2 linked regions of the Drosophila melanogaster genome follow. The protein of the gene in region 1 interacts with the protein of each later gene in a pairwise test. Each region holds a gene or a part of one and is shown on either strand. Other genes may lie near its edges.

What was found. Proteins that work in one complex are often made in the same cells at the same time.
Region 2: the proteins of CG13070 (region 1) and CG7290 interact in a two-hybrid assay, tested with the Drosophila melanogaster proteins (one large-scale study listed by BioGRID).

What each region holds. Positions count from the first base shown.
Region 1 is NT_037436.4:16,260,876-16,265,241, forward strand, and holds CG13070 (uncharacterized protein), read left to right. Parts: upstream 1-2,467; 5' UTR 2,468-2,496; coding exon 2,497-2,511; intron 2,512-2,752; coding exon 2,753-3,196; 3' UTR 3,197-3,276; downstream 3,277-4,366. Other genes in the region: CG34247 (uncharacterized protein), read right to left, coding at 382-624, 693-701; CG13071 (uncharacterized protein), read left to right, coding at 1,962-1,973, 2,048-2,245; CG13051 (uncharacterized protein), read right to left, coding at 3,939-4,190.
Region 2 is NT_037436.4:20,203,421-20,208,729, forward strand, and holds CG7290 (uncharacterized protein), read right to left. Parts: upstream 2,627-5,309; 5' UTR 2,582-2,626; coding exon 2,578-2,581; intron 2,507-2,577; coding exon 1,251-2,506; 3' UTR 889-1,250; downstream 1-888. Other genes in the region: CG7298 (uncharacterized protein), read right to left, coding at 1-83, 176-182; CG6996 (uncharacterized protein), read left to right, coding at 4,205-4,208, 4,448-5,309.

The DNA of each region.
Region 1 (4,366 bases):
TTTTTGCCACGGTGACGTTCGACGTGCGACATGAGTCTTGATTTGTTGCCACTTTTGGGATTTTATTAAATTTAGACAGGCCTCCGAGAAGCATAGGTGAACAACTGTGTGTAAGGACGGGCATTTGGGCGGGGTCATTCGATATAGCCATTGTTGTTTGGGGCTTTATAACTGAACAACAATTGGAGGCCGAGTTCAACAGACAGCGGGTGTGCTAGGTCATTTGGTTTTGGGGGAAGTAGGAAAGTTGTTTTCACAGACACCTCAACACAATGGGGGCTTATCATCTAGAGTTAAAACACCTTCGATGAGGAGCGTTCGAACTTTATTCAAATTTCACTTGCTTACAATTCACGCAAAGGTTTGTTGCTCCCCGCCCATCTAGTAGATGTACTCATAGGTCAGGGGCTTGTAGTCGCTGCGATATTGCTGCTGGAAGGAGTTCGGGGTCTCCACGCTGTGGTAAAGATGCGATTCGGCGGCTGCCGGGGCAATCAAACGGGAATAGGCCAAGGGCAGGACAGCCGAGGACCTGGCAAAGGTACTGGGGTAGTACCCATAGCTGGGGGTATAGTAATACACCTCGTGCCCCAAAGCCAGAGCAAGCAAACAGGCAAAGATCAGCTGTTAGATCAATTAAATTGGTTAAATATATATATGCAAAGTTATATAGAAGAGTTTTCCGATCTCACCAGCTTCATTTTCGCTCGTTGCAGTTCCTTGAAGATCACCTATCCAACTGAATAGCCATTCCACGCTACTCCAGGCTTTTATAGCTGCTCCCAATCGCATTCAGACCTTCACTTTGGCTGGTGGCCAAGGTCAAAGGCATTTGCCCAGCAAGCGGCAAATGAAAGAAGCCCTTAACTCACTTTGAATGGGCCAGTTGCAATTGCAATTGCCAGCGGAACTCGTTCCCTGCCACTCAGAATCCAGATGTGAATCGGATGGTCGTGAGTCCGCTGACAAGCCAGTGAAACCACAAATGCCTCTTGGGTTCTAGAACGGCAGAGAAGTCCTCCTTCCAACTTGCTACAAAGATTTGCCTTTCCCCGTAAAATGCATGATAATTAGGATAGAATGTGCTAGAAAACAAATACACACATTTTATAATTGACTTGTTGCATTCGGATCGATTTCTATGTTATATATTCGTAATTATTGATTTGTGTGCTATTCTAGCAATTAATTTTAGAAACCTTAACCTATAAACTCATCCTAATTTTATTTTTATTTATCCTCAATCAATTAGGGACATCCCCTTTTAGTGTGTAAGTACGTTCTATTTTCGCTGAGGCTCAAATGTAGGCATCTCTTTGACGTCTGTTTACTTCCATCGATTTGGATTGCGTCTTGCTCTTGGCCCCAAAATAAACAATTAAGTGCGTCCTGGATTGAGACGCACTTCCGGTGTTTTCCCGCCTTCCATCGGGAGGCTTTCAAGGTCAGTGGTGGGTTGCGGGTGGTGTCGAGAAATGGCCATGTTTCCTTTTGTCTTCGTAGCAATGAAAACAAACTCCCACGCCGAAATCAATTAAGTAAGTATATTGTTCGAACTGTGTTATTCGGCTAAATATTTGTTGATTTGTTATTTGCCTAAAAAATTGCGCAGTTTCCGCAAATTTATTTTTTTCGTTGATCTTTTGCGGTGCGTATTTCATGGCATCACCATTGCATTAGTGATGCAATTTTCGGTGGGTGGGCAACTGCAGCCAGTCACTCACCTAAGCTCAGGGAAACCTGAGCATTCCGCGTCCGCTAAGATTTCAAAGAGACTCTTGGGTTTTGAATATCTGACCAAGGTCGCGCGATTGCTGGGGCTTCTTGGCTTTGGCGGCTGGGTTATAAAAACCAGGCATCACATTCAACCAGCCATCAAACCATCTTTTGGCAGCTTCTCAACGAGTTCCACTTTGAGTTTTGCGTTCCAGAAGTTCTTCAGCAATCAAAACCGCTTCAAAATGTTCAAGCTGGTAAGGATATCCTGTCCTGTCCTGTCCTCCGAATGAAAAAAGTTAATTAAGTGAGCAACTCTTCCCGCCTCCAGTTCGTATTCCTCGCCTTCTGTCTGGCTTTGAGCTATGCCGCTCCTGGTTACCTGCACTCCTCGCCCATCCTGACCAGCTCGTACCACAGTCTGCCCTCGGTGCGCGTGATCCAGCCCATTTGGACCACCTCGCACAGCGTTGTGCATCCCATCAGCTACGGAGGATACGGTCATGGCCGTGGATATGGCTGGATCTAGGAGGAGCCATCTCACAAATAGGCGTCCTCAAGACTCGGCCGCCAGAGCACCTGTCGCCCGAAGCTCAACTCAAGTTCACACGGAGTTTAGCCATCTCTTTGACGGACATGCCTCAAATAAAGTTCTGAAATTGGTCTGAAATTTATGTGTCATAATAATTTTTTTTGAGAAGGAGGGGTAGACTCCATTCTATGGGGTATTTAAGCCAACGTTGTTGTCTTTCTTTGGCTTAGTTATCGTTCAGATTCACGATGGACATGATTGCTGTAAGTACACTTACAGACATTCTGGGCACTACAATTTTTTTATGAATTATGAAGTTGTTCTTTTGTTCTTTTGAAACCTTAAGTACTTTTTTTTTTAGAACAATGAATCATGCCCATGTACTCTTTTGAGCTTAAACAAACATATTTCTTAAAAATCGTTAAAAATATAGTTAGTGGGCAAATAGTTCAAATACTTGACTTAAAATGCTTAAAACATACTGAAAGTGGGATTATTTTACAGTTGATTTCGATTTGGTTCGTTTTGATGAACGTGGCTTGGTTTCAACCGATATATTTCCTCATGCCAACTCAAGTAGCCCGCAGCTTTAACTTGGCAGAGGATTCATTTTACCAGGAACCAGAACGGATTGAAGGGATTCAGTTCATCGAAGACCCCGCCAAGCTATTCAAGCCCAATGATTTTTTTCGAGAAGTAAACAAATTTATTATCGGAGTTCAAGAATTCGTGCAGAATCCATCGTCTTCCCTGTACAGTGCATTCAACCAACTGCAGAGCAATGCCAAAAAGAACCACCAGAAAAACCAGAAGCCCGTGGTGGTTCTTGACCCCTTTGGTAACATTACATTCACCCTGGGCTGGTCAGCCAACCTGGGAGTGTTCAATAGCATCAGTTTCAGCAAGAGTCGGAGTCTGGTTAACTACAATGGCTGGACTAAGGGTTAACAATCCGCTGGGCTAAATCAATGGCCAGATGATAACATACTTCTGGGCTGGGCCATGGCAATATAATTCGAATTAAAATTATTTTTATATAACACACAATAAATGCAAACTCTTTGTTCGAATTGGTTTGGATCTGTTTTTGATTTGCCGCAGATTACGTATACGCCACGATGTCTAATTTTAAACGCCGCACGTTGCATTGTCTAAGCTTAGTGTGTTTTACCCGGAATGAAATTGCTGCACGCCGCTCGACATGTGTGTACCCCAAGGATAATTATCTGTAATTATTAATAGTTTGCCCCTGGTCATGGCAAACCCAACACTTTTTGTCCACTTGGAAATTAGTTGTAAATGGTAATGCAGATAGTCGTTTCACTGCTTATGAGGCGATTCCAAGAAGCTGTTTGTGAACATTTAATTAGAGTAGAGTATCAGTTGGTTGAAAATGTATCGTGGAAATAGTTTACTGAGTTGCTTATACATTTACTGAGTTAATAATACAAATACTTGTATTTGATACCATATTGCTTATTATGCATTATTGGATATGACTTCTCTTCAAGTATAGTATAATATGCATAGTAAACTATATATAAATGGAATTTCGAAGTTCCTCTTCAGCTCCCAGTAAACCCCATTTTCCGAGTAAAAGACAAATATGTTCGTTTGTTTGCGAGTTTATTTCAGTTTCATTGCAAGTGTCCGTGTGCTATCCTCTTAAGTTGATCATCCTTCCGGGAATCTACTTCTTCAGGAGCAGAGGAGAGGTGTAGGCGGCATAGGGAGCAGTGTAGGCGGTGGTGTAGGGGGCGGCGTAGGCAGCGGTGTAGGCAGCGGTGTAGGGGGCAGCCACGTAGGGGGATGCCACGTAGGGAGATGCCACATATGGAGACGCCACGTAGGGGGCGGAGTAGGCCAGAGGAGCCACGATTCCGGGCTTGGCGGCCACGCAGGCAAACAGAGCGAAGATGACGGCGGCGACGAACTTGAACATCTTGGTAGGTTTGGTTTTTTGTTTGGTTTTACTTGTCGGATTGAACAAATGCAACTGATGTCTTAAACAGTCCAGACTTGTGGCTTTTATAGCCCCACAGCCGAATGGCTAGCGACCTTGCAAGGTCTCCCGGCCGAAAAACACAATTATGTTGCTCAGGCCAGTCACGTACCATT
Region 2 (5,309 bases), 3.9 Mb from region 1:
AACGTTGTAGTTTCCTTCCAGAATCGCATCGCCCAAGGCTTGGCCGCCCATTAGGCACAGGATCGTGGCCAGTAGAAGTTTGCCTGCAAGCCAGAAATCACGCAAATCAATTAGCGAAACTCCTGGTGTTTATTCGACCATAGACCACAGATCATATCCCATGCGAAACACTTGCCTGTCATCGTTAGTTGGTAATACTTTTTGCCGCTGTTGGGGATCGAATACCACTTGTATCGGCCAATGAAAGGTTGTCGAAGACTGATGGTGGAGTTTTCCCATTGCCTGGTTTTTATAGGTCTACGATTCGAACTTGGCCATCGAGATCGTAAATTGAATGTAGATAAGCCCAGCTATTCTCAGGAATTATAGACAGTGAAACATTGTTCCATTTTTTATTTATTCCACCAGATAGACGCTGAACATCTTTTCGGGGTGTTATTTAACCGATTTTAATTAAAGTATAGTTGTATTAACCACTAAGTAGCTCTTTATCTGTCATTATTTCTATCTGTTCCGCAACTTAATAATAAAAAAAAAAAAAAAAAACAAACAACTGACGCAGCCACATCCTTATCAATGGTGTAGGTCTACCTTGGAAAGTAAAACATCGTGTAGTTAAGCCTAGTGTTGTACAATAACTGAAAAGTGGGGTTTTCATTCGATAGTGTTGTAAGATTAATCAAATCAAGGTCTTTTAATCGGGATAATGTTGTGCAATAGAAAACGACCCTTTCTTAAAAATAATATAATATTTTACCCTAATTAATGCTATTCATTTAAATAAGAACTTTTTCTAGCAAATGGTTTAAATTTGTTATATGTATAATGTATGTATATTATGTAACTTTAACAGCTACACCTTAAATTGAATGGACTCTTATCGCTTTTGTATGGCGTTGACGCTGCCCAGTAAAACTTGTTTGGCGATGAAAAACTTTTCGCTCAGGCAATCTTTAATTTCGGCTTTATTGCCCTGCCATATGGGGTCAATAAAGTGTTGATGGTATTTCCTTGGATCTTCTGTACGTCGATGGAAATTTTCCTTTATTCTTGTCGCATTTGGTGACAGTTTTTTGGGCATTTTAGCTCTTTTATTTGCCGATTTCCTATCCGAATTAAGAATATATATCCTTTTTAGAACACTTTACTTCATATACCCTATTACTGTGCGAATAACTTGGGTGGATACTTTTAATTGAGTTGCCAAACTTGATTTGTATTTATTATTTTTGGCATAAATGCTATTTAAATTATTTTTTGTCTGAACTTGTTCCAGTAGAGGTTGTGGATGAAGTTCCAGAGGAAGTCGAGCCGGAGGAAGTCGAGCCCGAGGAAGTCGAGCCAGAGGAAGTCGAGCCCGAGGAAGTCGAGCCAGAGGAAGTCGAGCCGGAGGAAGTTGACCCAGAGGAAGTCGATCCGGAGGAAGTCGAGCCCGAGGAAGTCGAACCAGAGGAAGACGTCGAAGTTCCATCGCTTTGCGTGGGATTGCAGCAGAGGAACTTGGGCTCCAACCCGTTTACGCAGGATCCGAGGTTCTCGTTGAAGTAGTAGTTGGTGGGGCAGCTCTCCACGGCCTTCTGAACGCCGTTCACGCAGTATAGGTAATCAGAGCAATTGGTTGCCGAGTAGGCGTTTACAAAGGTCGCAGTGGTGCCCACACATCTGTCGCAGTCGTTCCTCGCTTCCATCCTGGTCACACACGCCTTCGAGATGGTATCATAGTAGTATCCCGAGGGGCAGGTCATCAGCTGATAGTTGCCGGCGGAGCACAGGTAGTACTGGTTGCACGCGGTGGCTGCGATCGTTGCTCCCGACGAGGAGCATGTGGTCGGAGCAGACACTCCGGTCAGGGATGGATCATTGGTGACCTGGGCGCAGGATGAGGCCATCTTGTAGCCGCAGTTGCTGGCCTGCACATTGAATACTAGACCATCTTCGCAGGATCCCGAGTGCAGAACGTTGTCCTGGCAGAAGTTCCAGCCACTGCAGTCGGAAGGGCTTCCAAAGTAAAAGCCATTCTTGACAAGATTGCATAGGTTGAGGGCGACCGACACAGTGGAGCCATCACCGGCGGACTCGCTGCATGGATAGTTGTTCTTGTACACACAGGCCATTGTGGTGGGATTGAAGTTCTCGCCGGCAGGACAATTGCCCCTCACAGCGCCGGAGGCTCCGCAGTAGTAGTAGCCGCCGCAGGACGAACTGGATGCCGCGAAGGATCCCACCGCCTTGCCCAGACAGGGATCGGAGTTGCTGGTGCAGGTGCTCGGCACAGTGCCCGTGCACTGCTGGGCATTCTTGTCGAAGTAGTAGCCCTGGGGACAGGACATGGCCGTGAACGAGGATCCCTGGCACTGGTAGTAGGTCGAGCAGTCCGACTGGCTGGCCACGTAGTTCCCATTGCTGACCAGCAGGCACAAGGCGGTGACATTCACATCGGCTATTGCTGGAGCGGCACAGGCGATCACCAGCGCCACGGCAGCGAGGATGGTTGCTTTTTGTCCACCTGGAAGCGTTGAATATATTCATATGATGTTCCAATTTTTCCTGTTTCGAACTTTTATATGCGATACCCACCCATTATTTGCTTCTTCTTTTGGTGGCTCCTAGTTGAATACTGTTTCTGGTTGATGGACTTCCTGGGCTTTTATTTGCAGTCCAGCCAGGAGTTATCTTCGATCCGCTGGGCTGTCCAAGTTGATCGACGACCCTTCAGCTCAGGAACCCATTTTGTGATGTATCGCAAGCGAAGCCAACGAACCATTTTTGCATGATCGATGGCCATTTTGACAAGTCAACAAAGTTTTTGTGGGGATAAGAACTTTCCCAGAACTCAGACGGATAGAAATTTGGGTTCTTTTTATTAACTCAAATGTATTTTTTAGACTGCGTTTCTATAATTGGAATATTAAAAAGTTAATGTGTAAATAAAAGAGCAATAAAGAATTACATCGTGCTCTAAACTTATAACAGAGTTCGCATTTTAAAGCTAACGACTTTATAATTGTTATAATTGTTTAACCAAATGTATATACTTGATTAAATTTGAATGAGTTTTTTACCGAATTATATAATTCAAGTAGTACCATATCAAGAAGTTCTCCAAATATGGTCCTTTCTATTTTTTTTTTCAAACAAATCAATTAAACGAAATGAGATTAGAGTAATCTAAATTAGCTTAAAATTACCTACATATTATATGGCAAAACCCACACACTTTGTTTTTAATAATATTGACTAATTGTGGCGATTCCTAGACATATTTGTTACTATCGGAACAGAAAAGTTGGACTTATGTGGTAAAGCCCAATTGACTTTAAAAAAACAAGTAAGCTAGTGTAGTTCCTCGACTTTAAGATACTCAGTACTCATTTGAAGGGAGTTCAAGGACACTAGATTTTTTATATGTGGTTTACTTGTTGTAGCATACCTATACACCAAGTAATTTTCACATCAATCTTCTATATTCTTATACAATAGTATCTTTCCTTTCAACGAACACTCTGTACACTCATTTACTCTACGACTATCAGGTACAATTAAAACCGACGATCGGCAGATTATTTCATAAAGTTAGTTTAATCGTAAATAATTTCACAATAATGTATAATTTTAAACAGTAATCTCAATAAGTATGTATGTCAGTAAGAATCGGTCATCGTGGACTATTAATAGCATAATGTCGTGTGCACCTGAGTCAGCAGATCGCAGGCGATAAACATAATAACATTTGATTTTGAAATAAAGTTAATTACTATATGTGTAATAAATTAAATTAGACCCAATCTAAAGATAGTAATTATAAACAAGCGGATACGAATTCGACAACGAATACTACCAAAAAACCAAAGGTATGACCGCACAAGTTGACAAAAATAAAAACAAATTGGGTTTTAAATGAACTGCGCACCGGCGTTGGCCAAGTTTATCACTTGTCAAATTTGGATTTAACCGAATCTGATAAAAGTGAAATATGAATACGTCATGCGTCCATTTTAGCCACTGAAGACAGTTCTAGACTAACTTAGAGCTTCCAAAATTTACAGACCTTTCGGAAAACCCAAAAGTAGCGAGGGCATAAGCATTGTCTTTCGATTTGTATTTATTGGCGAACTTGGATGGCATCCAGTTAGACGTTCTTTTCCTCGTTAGCCGTTAAGAGGTACTTGTATCTTTGGAATACTAAAAGTTTGCTGAACTCGAGATGGGTGAGTATCTCTGGCACTAGCAGATATCCATCGAAGTAACTATATTGTTGTTTCGAGAAGAATTACCATTTCATAGACAGATATAAATATAGAAAACCGTAGACTTAGGCTCAAGAAGTTCATAACGAAAACTCAAACATTTATTGAAAAAAAAATATGCAATTTAAATCGAAATTGAAAGCATACTTCACTTGCAACTTATTTCGAATATCGTACTTATACCCTTTTATGCAAAACAGACACAAAGCTCGCCTTCATTTCCGGACTCATCATGATCCCCACGATATCAGGCGCCCTGACCTTCAATGCAACTCTAATATGTAGCTTGGTGGTCAACGGAACCAAGATGAACGATCCTCGGGCGTGCAACGCGTGGATTCAGTGCATCGATGGGAGCCCTGTGAGTGGTAGCTGTGCGACTGGACTCTTCTACGACCGGGAGAGCCAGAAATGCCTGAGTTCCAGTAGTATCAAGTGTCTGTCCAGTGATCCGTGCGCTGCTCTGCCCACCGGATTCGCGGCTGATCCGTACTCCTGCAATGGTTATTACTATTGCAAGGATGGCAAGGGGACGCACGGAGTGTGCAACACTGGGATGAATTTCAATTCGGGAACGCAGGACTGCATCCGCGATTTTCCGTGCTCGAATAAAATGGACCCGGATAGCTATTGCAACATCTTGCCGGATGGGGTCTTCGTCAAGGACACGGACAACTGCAATGGCTATCAGTTGTGCTGGGATGGCCAGGTGATCAATGGAACCTGTCCGGGCACCTTCTACTTCAAGGCCTCCACGGCCCAGTGCGATTATCCGCAGAATGTGGAGTGTGACTTCGTCCCAGTGCCAGATATTAGCAAGAAGGGTGTATGTCCAGAGACGGGTGGATTTATATCGGATAACAAGACCTGCAATGGCTACTACTACTGCAAGGATTTGGGCAATGGAGAGTTCTCGCTGGAGCATGGCGTCTGCTCCGATGGAAGATTTTTCCTGGCCACCGATGGCGGAGCCTGTGTCCCGCGATCCAAGGTGAAATGCGGCTACGATCGATGCGTGGGCTTGGGCAATTCCACCATTCAGCTGGCCAACGAGTCGGATGA